Linked DNA regions of Macaca mulatta. The main gene of each other region encodes a partner of the protein of the gene in region 3 in a complex. Links are inferred from orthologs where the notes say so. Each region holds a gene or a part of one and is shown on either strand. Other genes may lie near its edges.

What was found.
Region 1: SGF29 (region 3) and YEATS2 share a complex: the UniProt entries of both Homo sapiens proteins name them as parts of the ADA2A-containing complex. The link is inferred for Macaca mulatta from reciprocal best matches to the Homo sapiens genes SGF29 and YEATS2.
Region 2: SGF29 (region 3) and TADA3 share a complex: the UniProt entries of both Homo sapiens proteins name them as parts of the ADA2A-containing complex. The link is inferred for Macaca mulatta from reciprocal best matches to the Homo sapiens genes SGF29 and TADA3.
Region 4: SGF29 (region 3) and MBIP share a complex: the UniProt entries of both Homo sapiens proteins name them as parts of the ADA2A-containing complex. The link is inferred for Macaca mulatta from reciprocal best matches to the Homo sapiens genes SGF29 and MBIP.

Annotation. Positions count from the first base shown.
Region 1 is NC_133407.1:95,834,641-95,839,727, reverse strand, and holds the start of YEATS2 (YEATS domain-containing protein 2), read right to left. Parts: upstream 3,128-5,087; 5' UTR 2,918-3,127; intron 2,834-2,917; exon of another isoform or gene 2,701-2,833; intron 284-2,700; 5' UTR 1-283. UniProt on the Homo sapiens protein: Chromatin reader component of the ATAC complex, a complex with histone acetyltransferase activity on histones H3 and H4. YEATS2 specifically recognizes and binds histone H3 crotonylated at 'Lys-27' (H3K27cr).
Region 2 is NC_133407.1:148,572,293-148,576,607, forward strand, and holds part of TADA3 (transcriptional adapter 3), read right to left. Parts: intron 4,213-4,315; coding exon 3,962-4,212; intron 3,864-3,961; coding exon 3,758-3,863; intron 1,560-3,757; coding exon 1,418-1,559; intron 1,329-1,417; coding exon 1,225-1,328; intron 1,189-1,224; exon of another isoform or gene 146-1,188; coding exon of another isoform or gene 122-145; intron 1-121. UniProt on the Homo sapiens protein: Functions as a component of the PCAF complex. The PCAF complex is capable of efficiently acetylating histones in a nucleosomal context. The PCAF complex could be considered as the human version of the yeast SAGA complex.
Region 3 is NC_133425.1:28,277,274-28,282,116, reverse strand, and holds the start of SGF29 (SAGA-associated factor 29), read right to left. Parts: upstream 3,218-4,843; 5' UTR 3,081-3,217; exon of another isoform or gene 2,968-3,080; intron 1-2,967. UniProt on the Homo sapiens protein: Chromatin reader component of some histone acetyltransferase (HAT) SAGA-type complexes like the TFTC-HAT, ATAC or STAGA complexes.
Region 4 is NC_133412.1:109,434,928-109,439,242, forward strand, and holds part of MBIP (MAP3K12-binding inhibitory protein 1), read right to left. Parts: intron 3,111-4,315; coding exon 2,991-3,110; intron 1,210-2,990; coding exon 985-1,209; intron 906-984; coding exon 809-905; intron 1-808. UniProt on the Homo sapiens protein: Inhibits the MAP3K12 activity to induce the activation of the JNK/SAPK pathway. Component of the ATAC complex, a complex with histone acetyltransferase activity on histones H3 and H4.

The DNA.
Region 1 (5,087 bases), on a different chromosome or scaffold from region 3:
TCACTCTCAATTCTCCTCTCCCTTCAACCTCTGGCAACTACTTTTTGTGTCGATAAACTTGCCTGTTTCTGGACACTTCGTATAAATAGAATCATACAGCACGTGGCTTTTTGTATCCGCCTTTTTTTTTTTTTTTGAGACGAAGTCTCCCCCTGTCGTCAAGGCTGGAGTGCAGTGGCGCGATCTCCACTCGCTGCAACCTCCACCTCCTGGGTTCAAGCAATTCCCCTGCCTCAGCCTCCCAAGTAGCTGGGATCACCGGCCTGGGCAACAGACTGAGATTCTGTCTCCAAAAAAAAAAAAAAAAAAAAAAAACAAAGAAAAAGAAGAAAAAGAAAAAATCTGCTTCATAAGTCTTGTTTTCTGTGAGAAAACTGCATCAACTCCCACCATCTACTTTCTATCATGATAGAAAACAGACTGAAAGCAGAGCAGGACCAAAGGCAGGGAGATGTGGAACAATCCAAGAACGTGGCAACGAACATTCAAGTAAAAATCCATGGTTGATGAGAAGAGGACAGGACCAACTATTTCTGAGAATCTATCCTAAGGAAATACGGAGCAATGTACATCATACGTGGGCTGCACTCAGAGATCTACAACGTAATGTTAGTTCTCCTCTTCCTATGGATTTTATAATAAAAAATAACCCACCGCAAACTATCATGCATCCGCTGAATGAACATGAAGCATTGGAAACTGAAAAACATGTGGGGAGAGCTCTGAATGCTGTATGTCAAGCTACCTATTTTTAATATCTAAAGAACCTTTGACAATCAATTAGGAAATAACAAAAGATGCCAGAGAACAAGAAAAGAAATTCGCAAATAGCCAATAAATGTGAAAAAAATGTTCAAACATACTAGTAATCAATAAATGAAAAAAACACAAGACATCATTTTTCATCGATCCAGTTTAGTTTTGGCGCAGATGGAAATAGGGGCACTTTTTTTCTAATTTGCACTCATTAGTTTCATTTCCTCACATTCCATTAAACTATTCTAGTCTGGTTCCCACCTTCCACTTCCAGAACTATGGACAGGAAGACCAATGACCAAAACCAATGACCTCCGTGTTGCCAAATCCAATTGACAACTTTAATGAACATCTCAGAAGCCCTGATAAAAGGACCAATTCAACATCTTCCAGAAATATCTCTTTTGGCTGCCATGATACCAGCTTTTTCTCCTACCTCACTTGCTGTTTCCTGTGTCCTTTCCTCAACCTTCTTCCTCTGCCAGACCTACAGGTATTTGAGTGTCTGAGCCCCTTTCACTTCTTCACGCTTCCCCTCAGTGATCTCACACAGCACCATACCTTTGAATGTCATCTATGTACTGATCACTCCAATTTTTTTTTTTTTTTTTTTTTTAAGAGACGGTGTCCTGCCTTGTAGCCAAGGCTGGTCTAGAACTTCTGGGCTCAAGCGACCTGCCTCGGCCTCCCAAAGTGCTGGGATTACATGTGTGAGCACTGCGCCCAGCCACTCCGATTTTTATCTCTAGCTCTAGCCTCTCTCTTCCTTGAGTTCCAGCCCTCTACATCCAACTGCCTCAACACACCGACTTCATAACTAATAAGCATCTAAAATTTAATACATCCAAAATAGATTTCGATATTTTTCCCACCTCAAATTTCTCTCTTCCATTCTTCATCTCAGTAAACGGCACCACCATTCACTCAGGTGCTCAAAACAAAAATCAAAAAAGCAAAGACTCCCACCATTCCCTCACCAATTCATTTCCAAGTCTTGTTCATTCTACCTTCAAAACACTTAAAAATCTGTTTACACTTCCCCATCTCCCTGCCATGGGCCTAGTCTAAGCTACTGCAAAGAGCACAGTAACTGACCTCGTAGGTTCCTCCCCAGCCCTCTTCCTCTACATAGCAGTCGGATTATGCTACTCGCCTTCTCAAAACCTTCAAAGGTTTCCCGGAAAAACTAAACTCCTAATCAGAGCATCATCTGCCCTATCTTTTAAAGAGTATACACAAACAGGAATATACATCCAAGGGTAATATCTCTAGACCGTAAAACTGCGGGCATTTTTCTCTTGCTTTGCTTGTATTTTTAAATTTTTCTACGCTGAATACTCTCTACTCATTAAGGGGAAATGATATTGCTGAATACTATATGATATTATGGCGCATTTTGTACATGTGAGCGAGAAATGGAAAACGTGGGTCAACTCTGTAACTGCTGAAGGCTTAGATGAAAATACTAGCAAACATCAAACTAAAAAAATGATGTGTCAGGCCTATAAGATCGCTGATGGCATTTCTCTTTCTCTGCTTTCCATTTCTTAACATAATCACATTCATGATGGGGAGAACCTCATTGTCTTCTGCAGTCTGGCCACAGCCCTCCAAGCCAGCCTTTCCTGCAGGAGTCCTCACTTTCCGAGGCTTCCACTCCGCCCCGCACTGCCCGCAGCTCCGGCGCGTTGGCCCCGGCCCCCTCCCTGGAACCCCAAAGCCTCTCTAACCCCTCCCCTCCATCCCGGGAGGGCCGGTGGGGATGGCGACAGGTTGGAGGGGCATTCCAGGATCCTTTCGGTAAACCCACGACTTTCTGGTCCTGGGGCCAAATCTTGCCTCCAAGGCCAAGAGCTTAACATCCCGAAACCTCCGGCCGCTGAGGCTCGGGGACCCGCATCCCCTCAGCGGAGCGCCCCGCTGAAGAGGAAGCCCCCAACTCACGTTCCGATTCCAGGCTCCCGCTTCTGCGGCTCCTCGGCCCGCACCTGGGATCCTCCCTGCCCTCCCCTCCGGCCCGGGGCCTCACCGGGTCCCGCCGCGGCGCAGCCGGCCGATGGGGGAGGGGCGCGCACGTGCCCGCGCCGCCCCCGCCCAAACAATGCCCCAGACAGCAGGGCGCGCGCCCGCGCGGTCCCTTCCTGCGCCCGCCAACACTCACCCTTTCTCCGGGTCTCCAGCTGCAGCGCGGCCCCGCCGGGCGCCGCGAGAGGGTAGAGCGAGGTGAGGGAGCGGGCGAAGCCCCGCGGAGCTGCCCAGCCACGAAACCCCAGCGACCCCCGCAGCCCGCGGAAGCACCCAGATCGGTGGAACCCGCCCGACCCGTTCCGCCCCGCACGTCAGCAGCCGGGCGCGTCGGGGCGCGCGCGGCGGCGGTGGTGGCGGCGGCGCGCGCGCGCGGCCTCGGGGCGGAGCTCGCAGGGATGAGGGCGGGGCGGGGCGGGGCTGGTCCAGGCTGCGACCCCGGCCCGCGAGGCCACTTCCTGGGCAGTGTGGGCGTCGATTCTCGCAAAGGCGTGGTTGTCCATCACTTTTCTGCCCCAGAAGGTGGCGAATTTCAACCCCAAGTTTGACAGAATATTCATTCTGCCGGTATGTATGAGCTTCCCTATTAATTACAATAGTAACAATGATTTTTGTGTGTGCCATCTTTGTCCCAACCCATGTGCTAAGTGCTGCGTATACAAATAACAGTAGTTATTGCTAGCCCATTTTACAGATGAAGAGATTGAGGCAGGGAAGGCTTGAGACTTATCCCAGTCACACTAGTGACAATCCAAGTCCAGTTTTCCATCTAAATATCTCTTGAGGCCAACATTCTCTTTCGTTCTAACTCTACCACCCTCTACCCAAGACCCTGTCATCTCTCTGCCCAGGACTATAAATAGCCTCCCAACTGGTCTTCGGGGATCTTCTGTTCCCCTTCAATCCCTCCTCACTGTATAAAGATTTACTACTGGAGCTGATTTTTTAATACTTTACCTACATGTTATCAAATTTTTATGTATTTAATGTTTTTATCTACACATAATACATGTAAATGGTGTTTTGTTTTTTGTGGTTTTTTTCTTTTTTTTTTTTTTGAGAGAGTCTCCCTCTGTTGCCCAGGCTGGAGTGCAGTGGCATGATCTCGGCTCACTGCAGTCTCTGCCTCCCTGATTCAAGTGATTCTCCTGCATCAGCCTCCCAAGTAGCTGGGATTATAGGCATGCACCACCACGCCCAGCTCATTTTTGTATTTTTAGTAGAGAGAGGGTTTCACCATGTTGGCCAGGCTGCTCTCAAACTCCTGACCTCAGGTGATCCACCCTCCTCAGCCTCCCAAAGTGCTGGGATTACAGGCATGAGCCACCACCCCCAGACTAATTTTTTTTTTTTAAAGACAGGTCTGACTATCACCACAGCTAGTCTCACACTTCCAGGCTCGAGAGATCCTCCTGGATGGGCGTGGTGGCTCACGCCTGTAATCCCAGCACTTTGGGAGGCTGAGGCGGGCAGATCACCTAAGGTCAGCAGTTCAAGACCAACCTGGCCAACATGGTGAAACGCCATCTCTACTAAAAATACAAAAATTAGCCAGGCATGGTTGCACATGCCTGTAATCCTAACTACTTGGGAAGCTGAGGCAGGAGAATCACAACTCGGGAGGTGGAGGTTGCAGTGAACCATTGCACTCCAGCATGGGCAACAAAAGTGAAACTCCATCTCAAAAACAAATAAACAGGGCCCGGCGCGGTGGCTCAAGCCTGTGATCCCAGCACTTTGGGAGGCCGAGACGGGCGGATCGCGAGGTCAGGAGATCAAGACTATCCTGGCTAACATGGTGAAACCCCGTCTCTACTAAAAAATACAAAAATTAGCCGGGTGAGGTGGCGGGCGCCTGTAGTCCCAGCTATTCGGGAGGCTGAGGCAGGAGAATGGCGTAAACCCGGGGGGCGGAGCTTGCAGTGAGCTGAGATCTGGCCACTGCACTCCAGCCTGGGCGACAGAGCAAGACTCCGTCTCAAAACAAACAAACAAACAAACAAACAAAAACAATTAAGAAAGGCTTCCTTGAACCTTAAGCTAAGACTCAAGAGATAATAGGAACTGGGGAGATAAACATAAATTTCATGGAGAAGGGGGTGAGGTCAGAGATCAGGATGAGTGTGTTGGTGTTCCCCTACTCTTGGGGTTTAACACTCAGGTGGGAAGCATAGAAATACCCAGGTAAGTGCTGAGGAAGCTAGAAGTTGACCTCCCCTGGTCTAGCTTGGAAGGCTGTCCAATTCTGTGAGAAGGCTCACACAGCAGGGCTCGGGAGCAGGCCATGGCATTGGGAGGAGTCTGCA
Region 2 (4,315 bases), on a different chromosome or scaffold from region 3:
CTGCTCCTTTCTGACCTACACTGACAGTCTTCAAACACCAGAAATATCCTTTTATCTTTCCCATCCCACCTACTCTGGGAAGCCTTCCCATACTGATCCCAAATTGCTTTGATCATTCTAGAAATCCATTTTTGTACTGATATGAAGAAAAAGGAACAAAAGGAACACAGAAGAGAAATGATTAACACTCAATGATGGTAATGAACAGCCAAGGTTTGTGAAGTGCCTGCAACGCACCAGGCACTGTGCTAGGCCTGCTGTGGCAGAGGTGCTAGCTGTCCGAACGCCACTCTCCTTTCCTCCATGGCAGCTAGGCAATGCCTCTCCAGCTGCACTACATTTCTCAGGCTCCCTTGCAGGCAGGTATGGTCATGTGACAGATTCTCTCCAGGGGAAAGCGATCAGAAGAAATAAGAGCCACAGCTAGGCATGGCCCAAAGAGTTTCCTTCACACACTCCTCCTTGCTCTTATTCTGTGGGACTGGAGTGACAATTATGCCCAGAGTGACCCTGTGCAGACTGCAAGGCCACCATCAGCTGGGATTCCTGTTTGATGATATGCCCCTTCCCCTACCTTAGATAACCTGGAACACGTACCCAGACTGTTACATGAGAGAAACTATTGTGTTTGAGCCAGAAAAGAAAACTGAGTCTCAATGAGGTGAAAGAGTATGAGGGTGTGTCTAAGGTCAACCAGCAGGTATAAAGACAGGGACCCCGAAGTAGGGGTTTGAATCCTGCTGTGAGAGACCTCAAGTGAACAGTTCCCTTTTCTGAGCCTCTAATCTTCTCATCTGTAACACAGGGTTAACCACTGTCCTGGCCTCCAGTGGGAGGATGTGTATAAAGCCCCTCCAACAGATGCTTAGCAAAAGTTAATTGTGGAGTAGAGGCTATCTTTGGGGGAAGTTGGAGAAAAACAGGGGCATGAGAGGGGCTTCTAGGATATAGTAATGCTTCATTTTGTAATCTCCAGGCTGCTAATACAAGCTCATTTGTGAAAACTGTACATTTATGATCTGTGCACTTTTCTATTAGGTTGGTGCAAAAGTTATGTATTATTCCCAATCTTTTGCTATGTGTTAGTCCAGGTTTTTACTTTTGCAGCAACCTAATTATTGTTGTACCAACCTAATAAATGTATGATATATTCCAATAAAAAATAAATATAACACATTAAAACACAAAGTAAATGTGGTTCCTGTTTTGGATTAGGGTGCTCACCTCCACCAGGGCCTGCAGGAGGCGCTGCGTCAGGGCACCAAAGGGGCATCCATCTTCCGGCTGTTCATGCTGGGCCTCAGACTTCTTCAGCAGGGCATCCACATCTAAGTGGGCACAGGAAAGGAGGGCAGGTGGGCTGAAGTTCTGGAACTCAAGTCCTGACCTGGGGTTGGCAGGGAGGTGAGAGGCCTACCTTTAGTGTCCAGTTCAGTCAGTGGCCCCATGAGGCCTTTCTTCTTGTCAGCCACGGCTGCTGCCCGGGCCCCATCCTTCTGCTCCTCCAGCAGGTCCTCCTGGGCCCAACGCTGGGAGTAGTGCTTCCCCAGGGGTGGGATCTGTGGAAAAGATGGCACCCAACCCTGAGTGGGTAAGCACTGGCCAGCCATGCTTCATTCATTCATTCATTCACTTATCTGTCTTATCTCTCTCTCAAGTCCCTAGTCCAAGGCCAAGCCCAGTGTCAGGTATAGGTAAGAAAGTATAAAGAAGATACCTCTACTTCACACTCTAGTAAAGGAGACAGGTCCGAAAAGGACTAAGACACACACACAGAAGCCAATCTGAAACAATTCCCAAGATAGAAGGTGCAGAATACTCTACATACACGGATTGTCTCAGGTCACATCAATTGTCTCTCGAGAGAATTAGGAGCCTTCAGGTCACGGGTGACAGGGAATTACCTTTTATATTGCTTGAATTAACTGCTGTCTGTATGAACTCTTTTTCAAATAAATTTTTAAAAAGTCAGGTAAGTGAAGTGAAAGAGACAGATCAAAGTGTTGTGGCAGCACAAAGGAGAGACTAACTTTCTGCTGGGGAATCTGAAAGGGTGCTTTGGTGGAGGTAACATGAGATCAGGGCCTTGGAGGGTGAGTCAAGTCTATCAGGGAGAGAAGAGGGAGAGAAGAGCTTGCCAGAGGCGCCCAGAGACCAGCAAGGAGGCTGTGGTGTCCTGGAATGAGGGCAAGGTACTTGGTGGGACTGGTCAACACAGCAATGAAGAGGGGTATGGCCGAGGAAAATGGAGAGAGGCACTGGAGCTGTGCCACCAAGGACTGGGATGCATGGACTTGATCCTGTAGATAACGGGATGAAGAGAGGCCTAGATGCAGTGCCATGTCATGAGCACATCTGATGACAGCTGACCTATGGGAGTATTCTCCCTCAACATTTTTCTGTATTTTCTAAATATTCTTTAATGGAGCATGTTTTATTTATTTTCATCATTAAAACATAGTTTCGTATCTTCTTCTTTTTTTTTTTTTTTTTTGTGAGATGGAATCTCGTTCTGTCACCCAGGCTGGAATAGTGGCACGATCTTGGTTCATTGCAACCTATGACTCCCCGATTCAGGCGGTTTTCCTGGTTCAGTCTCCTGAGTAGCTGGGATTCTAGGTGCACGCCACCATGCCTGGCTAATTTTTGTATTTTTAGTAGACACAGCGTTTCACCATGTTGGTCAGGCTGGTCTTGAACTCTTGACCTCAGGTGATCTGCCTGCCACAGCCTCCCAAAGTATTGGGATTACAGGTGTGAGCTGACTTTTTTTTTTTTTTTTTTTTTTTAAAGACAGAGTCTTGCTCTGTTGCCTAGGCTGGAGTGCAGTGGCGTGATCTCAGTTCACTGCAACTTCTGCCTCCCAGGTCCAAGAAAGTCTCCTGACTCAGCCTCCCAAGTAGCTGGGACTACAGGTGCACACCGCCATGCCTGGCTAATTTTTTGTATTTTAGTAGAGATAGGGTTTCACCATGTTGCCCAGGCTGGTCTCGAATTTCTGAGCTCAGGCCATCTGCCTGCCCTGGCCTCCCAAAGTGCTAGGATTGCAGGCATGAGCCACTGCACCTGGCCCAAGCTTTACATCTTAAAGAAAGAAGAAGGGTTCCTCCAGAGGCCTCAAAGCAGGAACAGAGTTAAGGGGCTGTTTGTATAGAAGCTGATGAAGGCTTGGACCAAAGCAAAGGGACAGAGATAAAGGAACATGGGCACACTTCACTTAAGCTTGAGGGCATGGTGACATCTGGCTCAGGTAGAGGGGAGGCAGCGCACAAAGAAAGCTGAGTTTGGGCCGGGCGCGGTGGCTCAAGCCTGTAATCCCAGCACTTTGGGAGGCCGAGACGGGCGGATCACGAGGTCAGGAGATCGAAACCATCCTGGCTAACACGGTGAAACCCCGTCTCTATTAAGAAATATAAAAAACTAGCCGGGCGAGGTGGCGGGCGCCTGTAGTCCCAGCTACTCGGGAGGCTGAGGCCGGAGAATGGCATGAACCCGGGAGGCGGAGCTTGCAGTGAGCTGAGATCCGGCCACTGCACTCCAGCCTGGGCGACAGAGCGAGACTCCGTCTCAAAAAAAAAAAAAAAAAAAAAAAGAAAGCTGAGTTTGGACCTGGGTGTCTGGATACATTGATGGAGCAGATAGGAGGCTGGGCAGGATGGGGGAAGGAAGATGATGCATGGCTTTGGTAGCTTTAATTCTCAGCCACCTCTGAACTCTCTTGTTCTGCATCATGTCTATCAAGGCCCAGAGTTTCTACCTTGTAATGCTCAGCCTCATCTTCTGGGGGCTTCAGTAGCTCCTCAAGTGTGCGGACCTCCTCGCTGGTGATGTCAGCACAGTAGGGCTCCACTGAAGCCCAGAACCTGCAGGGAGAAGCAGATCCTCAGTGGGTACCCCTGCCCCACCAGCGCCTCCACCACCAGAACCTTGAGGCCCCCTTCTATGTTCTCTAGCCCAGAACCTGTTGGGGGCATCATTTTTGGGGATCCGTGGCACGTCGATAGGGTCATCAGTGAATTCATATTCCTGGATCTTGGGCTGAAGGTTTTTGGATTTGGGCCGTCCTGGGCCAGGGCCCGGCCCATGTCCCGCCTTCCCTTCCAGTTTCTGCTTCTTGGGCTTTCCATGTTTCGGGGGAGCTCCAAGTTCATGGTCTCGACCCAGCTTCAGGAATCGTCGGTCACCTTTTTTATCCTGCCAGTCGGTGAGGATCTGAAATGTACAGAAATTGTCACTGAGGGAGAGAAGGGAAAACAAAGAATATTTCTTTCCTCTAGTGAATAAATTAGGATCTAGAATCTAAGGAGTCTCCTGG
Region 3 (4,843 bases):
CTGAAGAGACAGCCAATTCTGAGGGACAAAGGCTGCAGGATTGAAGCGCGTGTTAACCACTAATACCTAGCCTAAAATTGCTGGCCCTTTTACTGTAATAGCATCTAAGGCCCCAAATAAACAAATCCAAACATCCTACACTTAAGCCACTCTAAGATTAATTCCACAGGGCTGAAAACAGTAAGAGCTTTGTTCTGGGTCAAAGGGAAAGAGGAACCTAATACCCCACACTCAGATCCCACACTCTCAATCCAGTCACTAGCAATGATAATCTGCAAACTGGGTGCAGTGGCTCACAACCATAATCCCAGCATTTTGGGAGGCCGAAATGAGAGGATCACTTGAGGTCAGGAGTTCAGGACCAGCCTGGGCAACACACGGAGGCCCTGTCTCTACAAGAACAAAATAAAATAATTAGCTGGGCATGGTGGTGCACATGTGTAGTCCTAGCTACTGAGGAGGCTATGGCAGGAGGATCCCTTGAGCCTAGGAGTTTGGGAATAGGGAGCTACAATGGCACCACTGTACTCCAGCCTGGGTGACACAGTAAGACCTTGTTTCTAAAAAAAACATAAATAGGTTGGGCGCAGTGGCTCACACCTGTAATCCCAGCACTTTGGGAGGCCAAGGCCGGCGGATCAACTAAGGTCAGGAGCTCAAGACCAGCCTGGCCAACATGGTGAAACCCTGTCTCTACTAAAAATACAAAATTAATCAGGTGTGGTGGCACATGCCTGTAATCACAGCTACTCAGAAGGCTGAGGCAGGAGAATTGCTTGAAACCGGAAGGCAGAGGTTGTGGTGAGCCGAGATTGCGCCACTGCACTCCAGCCTGGACAACAAAGAGCAAAACTCTGTCTCAAAAAAAAAAAAAAATTAGCCAGGCATGGTGGTGCATGCTTGTAATCCCAGCTACAACCAGGAAGCAGAGGTTGCAGTGAGCCAACATTGCACCACTACACTCCGGCCTGGGTGACAGAGCAAGACTCCATCCCATAAATAAATAAATAAATACAATCTATATTCATCAATTGGTTAAAGAGACATTAAGAAGACAATTTTTTTCCTTCATGCCTCTGTATTGCAACTTATGCCAGTGTTTCTCATTTAAACCTTACAGCAATCCTATAAAATAGATAACAGAATGGTACGTATAGTAAGGAAATTGAAGTTCAGATAGGTTATGCTAGGTAACTCAGGAAAAATAGGTAGTTGAGCTGGGGCTGCAAGGCTGCAGGTTCTAAAATCTATGCTCTTCCTCTCAATTCCAAGTTTTGTCAGGACTTCAGCATATTCAAGAGTAAAAGAGATCATGGAAGTGGAAGCTGCCAAACCACCATTAGGCTATTATGACAACACTCAAAGTATCACCAGTAAAATGATGACTGAGGCAACTGAAAAACAAAGCTAGGGAAATGTGATGGTTAACTTCATGCGTCAACCTGATTGGGCTAGGGGATGCCCAGATAGCTGGTGAAATACTTTTGAGTGTGTTTGTGAGTTTCCAGAGGGTTTGCTTTCCTGGGCTTCCAGCTTGCAGAAGGCAAATCTTGGGACTTCTCAGCCTCTGTAATTGTGTGACCCAATCCATCACAATAAATCTCTTTCAATATAGCTATACAGTTGACCCTTGAACAATACAGGTTTTAATTGTGCAGGTCCACTTATATGTGGATTTTCTTCCACCTTTAGGACTTTTTTGAAACAGGGTCTTGCTCTGTCACCCAGGCTAGAGTGCAGTGGCACGATCTTGGCTCACTGCAGCCTCCACCTCCTGGGTTTAAGCAATTATTGTACCTCAGCCTCCCAAGTAGCTGGGATTACAGGTGCGCACCACCAAGCCCGGCTAATTTTTTTTTTTTTTTAAGAAGAGACTGGATTTCACCACGTTGCCCAGGCTGGTCTCAAACCCCAGAGCCCAGGCAATCTGCCTGCCTCAGCCTCCCAAAGTGCTAGGATTACAGGTGTGAGCCACCACGCCTGGCTGGCATTTACATTTAAAATGTGAAACTGGGATTGTGGTGGTTCATGCCTGTAATTCCAGCATTTGGGGAGGCTTTGGTTAGGAAGACTGCTTAAGCCCAGGAGTTCAAGGCTGCAAGAGGCTGCAGTGAGCTGTGATAGCATCACTGTTCTCCAGTCTGAGCAACAGAGAACCTGTCTCTAAGAAAAAAAAAAAAAGTGAGATGCCTAGGTTAAAATCAGCAGAGGAGAAGCCAGAGTGAGGAGAGGCAAAGGAAGAGAACGTTCAGCAAGCCAAATGAAAACAGTGTTTCAAGAAAGTGCAGCGATCAACAGCACCAGATGCTGCTACAGGACTGAGACCTAACTTAACAATGAATTTGGCCATCTAGAGATCACTGGTGGCTTTGACAAGAAGCCGGTTTAGTGGAGTGGTGGAGACCAAAGCCTGACTAGAGGCTCAAGGTTCAAGACTTGAAGGAGAAAAGGCACTAATGAGGGTAGACTGAGGCCTCTGGCTGCAAACCGGAGGCGAGGAGGAGGTAACTGGAGGACAGCGAGGGTGAAGGGGGCTGCTTTGTTGTTCCTAAGATGGGCATTTTTTGGCCAGGCACGGGGGCTTATGCCTATACTCCCCACACTTTGGAAGGCCGAGGCGAGAGGTTGAGCCAACGAGTTCGAGACCAGCCTGGGCAAATTACGAGCTGTTAGTGTATCTTCAAAAAAAAAAAAAAGATAATTTTTGTGCAAATAATAAAATAAATGCTGGAGTTCGGGGCCCATCTTCTGTCCGCATCTTCGTGACCCGGGCCATGCACCCGACCTGGGGGCTGCCTCCCTGCCAAGCCCGGCGTGCTGCTGTCTCCCACCCTAGCCCGGGATGGAAGCGCGCACGCGCAGACCTCGAACGGCTGGGCGCAGGGCCCGCCCCACCGTCGAGTCCCGCCCCTCCCGCCCCCCAGCCCCGCCCCTCCCGCCCCCCTCCCGCTCAGAGCACGTACGCACCGTCCCTAGAGCGCCGCCTGAAGGAGGACGGGAGCCTGGGCGCTGAGGGAGGGTTTAGCCCTTCGCTCCCGCGCTTCGCCGGAGGTCTCAGGCCACGGCCCGTCCCCACCTACCGAGTCTCGCAGAAAACAAGGTCTTCGGGCTGGAAACTGCGACGAGGGAAGCTGGCGCGTTCCTTGAACGCTTTTTCGGAGTCTGCGGATGATCACGGACCTGCGTTCGAAGATTGGCGGCACGTCGAGAGCCGCACACGTTTTTTTTTTTTCCTTTTATGAGCGCAGTCGCGCGCGGAGGACCTTGAACGCATGCGCAGTCGTTCCTCTGTGACGTGACCCGCTGCCGGGTGGGAAATGTAGTTTTTACTTGGCACACCGCTCCGGCTCTTGTCGGAACCCTAATTTAACCAGCCAAAGTGCTTGTGCGTTTTCAGCGTTCTCCCATTCCCCCAGACTATTTAAAACAAAATGCAAAAAAAAAAAAAAAAAAACCCAACTTGAAAACGAAGAGATTGCTGCTTGCTGGAGAGGAGTGGGTGCAGGTAATACAAAAACCGTACTTTCTGCGCAATTTTGTTGTGAACCTAAAAATGCCCTAAAAACTAAAGTCAATAAAGTCTATTGTTAAAAAATTAATTAAAAACAGGCCGGGCGCGGTGGCTCACGCCTGTAATCCCAACACTTTGGGAGGCTGAGGCGGGCGGATCACCTGAGTTAAGGACTTCGAGACCAGCCTGACCCACATGGTGAAACCCTGTCTCTACTAAAAAATACAGAAATTAGCCGGGCGTGGTGGTGGGTGCCTGCAATCCCAGCTACTTGGGAGGCTGAGGCTGGAGAATCGCTTGAATCCAGGAGGCGGAGGTTGTAGTGACCGGAGATTGCGCCATTGCACTCCAGCCTGGGTATCAAGAGGGAAACTCTACATCTCAAAAAAAAAACCAAAAAACAAAAAAACAAGCAGACCTTTAGACCCAGAAATAGCACTTTTAGGGGGTCTTCTCAGGAAAGTATTAAGGATATGGACGTGCAATGGACGCATAGCCTCAGTGGTATTTATCGAAATCCATCTTGGTATCTTATAATTTCTTACATAACCCTACAAATGTCTGTAATTATTTGTAGATTATTTGATAAACTTGCAAGTCCTATGAGATTAGGATCATCTTGTGTTCACCTGTGTATTCCTAGTACCTAGCACAGTGCCTAGCCATCACGTTTCTTTTTCTTTTTTTTCTCTTTAAGACAGGGTCTCGCTCTGTTGTCCAGGTTGGAGTGCAGTGGTGCTATCAGGGCTTCTGAGTAGCTAGGACTACAAGCGCACACCAGCACATTCTGCTGATTTTTAAATTTTTTTGGTAGAGATGGGGGTCTTGCTATGTTGCCTAGGCTGGTCTTGAGTTCCTGGGCTCAAGCGATCCTCCTGCCTCAGCCTCCCAAAGTTGTGGGATTACAGGCATGAACCACCATGCTCAGCCTCGTCAGTATTTTTCTGTTTATTAGAGAATCTCAGGCGTTAGCACTGAAACTATTTTAATCCAAAAATTAATGCGTCATTTTTTTCCATCACACTTGCATTTCTTTCTGTGGGCTCCAGGTCAGTGAATGACATGCCCACCCACCCAGCTGCAGTTTGACTTACTACTTTTTATGAAGGTTATGCTTTGAGGGATTTTGTGAATTTTGCATTTGTAAAGGTCTTATGGGCTCTTTCTCCTGATTGTTAAATATCAGCCCAAGGCCAGGCGCGGTGACTCACCCCTGTAATCCTACCACTTTGGGAGGCCAAGGCAGGGGGATCACGAGGTCAGGAGTTTGAGACCAGCCTGGCCAATTTGGTGAAACCGTGTCTCTACTAAAAATACAGAAATTAGCCAGGT
Region 4 (4,315 bases), on a different chromosome or scaffold from region 3:
TGTACCAATGTGATATGAGTCAGTTTTAGGTTCATCTGACAATTCTATGTTCATAATAATTAGTCATGAGATATTAGAGGCAACAAGAAACATGTTCATCCCAATTATGAATTCTTCTCCATAATTTTTCCTAAGAACTAGTTGTTCTGATTATTACTATGGTGCCTGAGTATGATCTATGGCACTGCTTTGCAATATTTTGTATTCTGCAGCATAACTGCAGATTTGTAAATGTACTATAGCATCAAGTAGAGAGGTAAAGGAGAATCTGATGAAAAACAACAAACGTATGCACTATGGCAGAAAGGAAAAAAGCAAGACACCATAGTCTTCATGATAAATTGGTTGTATTGTGACATAGGACATTTCAAACAGCTCAGGAGTAGTGAGAAAACTGCTCCCTCTGGAGGAATATTAACTTTAAGTTCACTTATGTATTAACATCATGATTTCACAGTACATGTATAGGTTTGAAACTCATAGAGCTCAGTTCCTTTTACTAGTGGGATAGATCAACCTTGTCACTCATACCTCACATTCATTTCCTAAAGGAACTTTAAAATAATCTTCGCCAGTGATAAACACTTTTAATGTTAGCATTTACTTTGTGTAACCAAAATGAAAACCAGTTTGCAATATAGTCTATTATTAAGCAGAAGGAAACTCTACTATCTTAGTTACTAACTAAACCTGTGAAATAACTTGAATTGTGTTCTTAAAGCTATTCATTTAAAAAATAAATAAAAGATTAGAGCAACTATAAAAATTGTGCTTAAAACCCTATGAAAATTAATTTCTAGGTAGTTACCTTGATTACAATCAATAACATTGCAAAATTCCCTGACGTTGTTTTCATTGATTTCAGCTTGCTTTCTTTCAATAAATGCAGATATTCGTCTGTCAATCTACAAACAACAAGTTTTAACAGTGTAAACATAAGATTTTTAAAAATAATACCCTCTCACCCCCGCCAGAAAAACTTACTTCTGCTTTTCCAGCCTTTATCTGAACTACTTCTGGATCAAAATGGATCTGTGTCTTTTTCACATCTCCTAAATCACTTTCTTTGTGTTTTTCTTCCTCTTGTAGGTCACCAATGGAAAATTTGTCATTTGCTTCATTTTTGTTCCCCATTTCTGTTTTTCCTATCTCTTCAACAGCAGTTGTATTCTCCTCTTTAATTGGAGACTGAAGTTTTGCTAAAAAAGGCTGAGAACAACACAATTCCATCTGCTGAGGTTCAAACTGACCAAAATTAATTACACATTTAATATATTTACATAAATTTCTGCAAAGTAAATGAAATACTTAATATCAGTTAATAAATATAAAAAGTTGGTATACCAAGACACATAGATCTGACCACATGTAAGTATTTACTATTCTCTGCTATTGTAACCATTATCATTTGCTATAAATTAGTTTTAAAAAAGGAGAGAGGAAAAAAGAAAAGAAAAAAGAAAAGAAAACCTAAGGAAATTTAAAATTTTCTTTGAGAGAATCATTCTGTCACTCATCTTTTATTTTGTGCCAAATCAAAGCCTTCAGCCTCTGGCACCAATGCCACTTAATTAACATGTCATTCAAATGCCTCCTCAGAACACTAAGGCTTAGTATTTTTCCTCCTTAACATGAGAGCCAGTGCTCTCACTCAGCAAAGCCCTGCATTATCACTATATCACTGGAGATTCTCCACTTGAAACTGCAGTTGGCCAATGTGAATGAGGAAGATAGACATGAAATATATAGGTGTTAGGTTGAGTGAACACTCAGACATTTCCTGACATGGCAAGATCTCTTCTTGGGTCATAAAATTAAATTTTAAAAAAGAAAATGAACAAGAAAAAAAAAAAAGATCTATAGCTGAAAACAGGCAGAGGCCTATCACTATACTACAGGGGAAAACCCCTGTTGTAGACTATAAACTATATTACCCATTTACTGTTCCCCTCCCCCGCTCCCCACAATTAGGCCTCATTTGAGTTCTACAGCTCACTGCTCTGCCCTTTAAAACAGGGTTAACTATTACTTTTAACATGGAACAGTTAAAATTTCCCACAAAGTCAATGAATGGAGGGCTGAAAATTAATGCCTATTCCATTAGTCAAAACACACTAACACTGATAATGTTCCAATTATTTTTTTCATACCCACAATTTTGCTTCCATTGTTTGCTATACTACTCTTTTGAAACCTTGTAACACCTTAATCACAGTAAACTGACCAATCCAAACAGTTTTTCCACTTGTCTTTTTGACACTTCACATTTTACACTTTGATTAGAGATAAACTGCAAACTTACATCAATTATAATTGCAAAGATGTTCAATTAGAAACCAGCAAGGTCATAATACTGTTCAGTTATTAACATGAAATATTTAAAAATATAACAACATTATTATAAATACAGATTCAATATTAACTTCTAATATAAAGAATGAATTATTTCAAACTGTTAAGGAAAAGAAATGATAAAATAGTGACTGGCTACTTACAAAGATGAGACATTAATGTCACAGAAATTACTTTCTTTTTAAAAACTATGCTGAAACTGTTTAATTGCAATAGACACTCCAGGATGTGTCATGCTGGGATAATGCCCCTTCTTGAACCACTGAAAGCACTCCATGAGCCTCCAAACTCACCCAAGGCATGGAATCATTATCATAGCATGACACACACCTGCCGTGTCTTATTGCTTAATTATAACCCACCATAGATGGAACTGTATTGAATTTTCAGTGCAGGTCTAGAATTGAATAGAATTGCATTCATTCACTCTCATACCCACATTGGTCTTTTGGGCTATATTCCCTTAACTGTCCTGATCACTACTGAAATTAACAGATTTAGATTAAATCTGGATGTAAATAACCTTTTGTTAGCAACACTATTAATATAGTGTTTAGAACTGTCAAATACTCCAACTAATTTAACCACAATTAATGTCTATTTTCAATATCGGGTTATCATTTTAGCAAGAAATTTACCTGTAAATATAAAATGTGTTGTTCAAGTGCACTAAAGAGCAATGCAGGCTGGAATGCCGAGAGGCTCTGGAGCTTGTTCCAATCGATTGTAATTTTCACCACATCATCTCTGAGGTTAAGCTTCAAAGGGGCAAACCAGCAACATCACAAAAATTACACAATTAAGCTGTACATATGAATTGTCACAAAAATAAGATTTCTAGAGTAACGGGTCTATTTTGCTCTAAGTTATCAAGTTTTTAATAATACACTGAAATGCTCTACGCAGTTCCATTTTAAGAGGCCAAAAAAGCTACAGATTTTCATAAAAAACAAAAACAACATGACATGTCATTCAAATTCTATTCTTGGGTCTGTGTAATGCGACCATTTTAGAGGTAAAAACCATTCATGAAAGATGAAAAGATGAAGGCTCTTTTGATACTTCAATATCTACAAACCTTTGGATGGAGTCCAATATAGGCCTGCCCTATTCAGAATCCTACTACTTCTAGCTCAGAGCCTTAAACAGAGGAAGTACAACTGTTTTGTGAAAGTTTTAACATGCATCTTTCTCTTTATGTACACAAATACATATCAGAAATATATCATTATTCTGATGTCCTCCAAATCACATTTTTAGTTTTTTAACTTTTAACCAATTTTTAAACTAATTTAAAAGTCAAGATTATTCATACATATAAAGTGTAGGGATAAATGGCAACATGTTTATTTCAAATGAAAAACTATTATTTAGCTACAGAAGTCTGAAGCTGAAAAACAAAGACTTCTCCACTATAGTGACATAAGTTGCCAGACTGGATGAAATGTCCAGATCTTTTGCTAAATGCTAAGATATCAGTGCTCATTATATGGAAATTTCTATCAGTTGGTGATCTAATAGAATAAAATCATACCCAGAAAACTACCAACAACCTGAATATAAGATTATCATCAAAATGAGTGAAAAGTTTACAATGAGAGCGCCCATCTGCAGTCTTTTGAGTAAATAAAAGTGAACCATCACAAACTTTTCTAGGGACATGTGTTTATAGCATAGTATAAGAATACACTTCATAGTGGAATCAACTTAACATAATTTATTCAAAATGAGTCATCTTTTCTACAAAATAAAGGTGTTACATGAGTTCAAATACAGATTTTATTAGTCATAATTATAATAAAAAAGATGAATCACTGTACAAAGATCAAAAAGATGTAAGGTTACCAATAAAAAGATAATATATTGAATACTTTGTGACAGAAATGAAGATGAGAACAGAAGCATTTAGAAGTCCATATTAGACAAGCGTAAAGATACATGAAATTTCATGTAGGCTGCACTG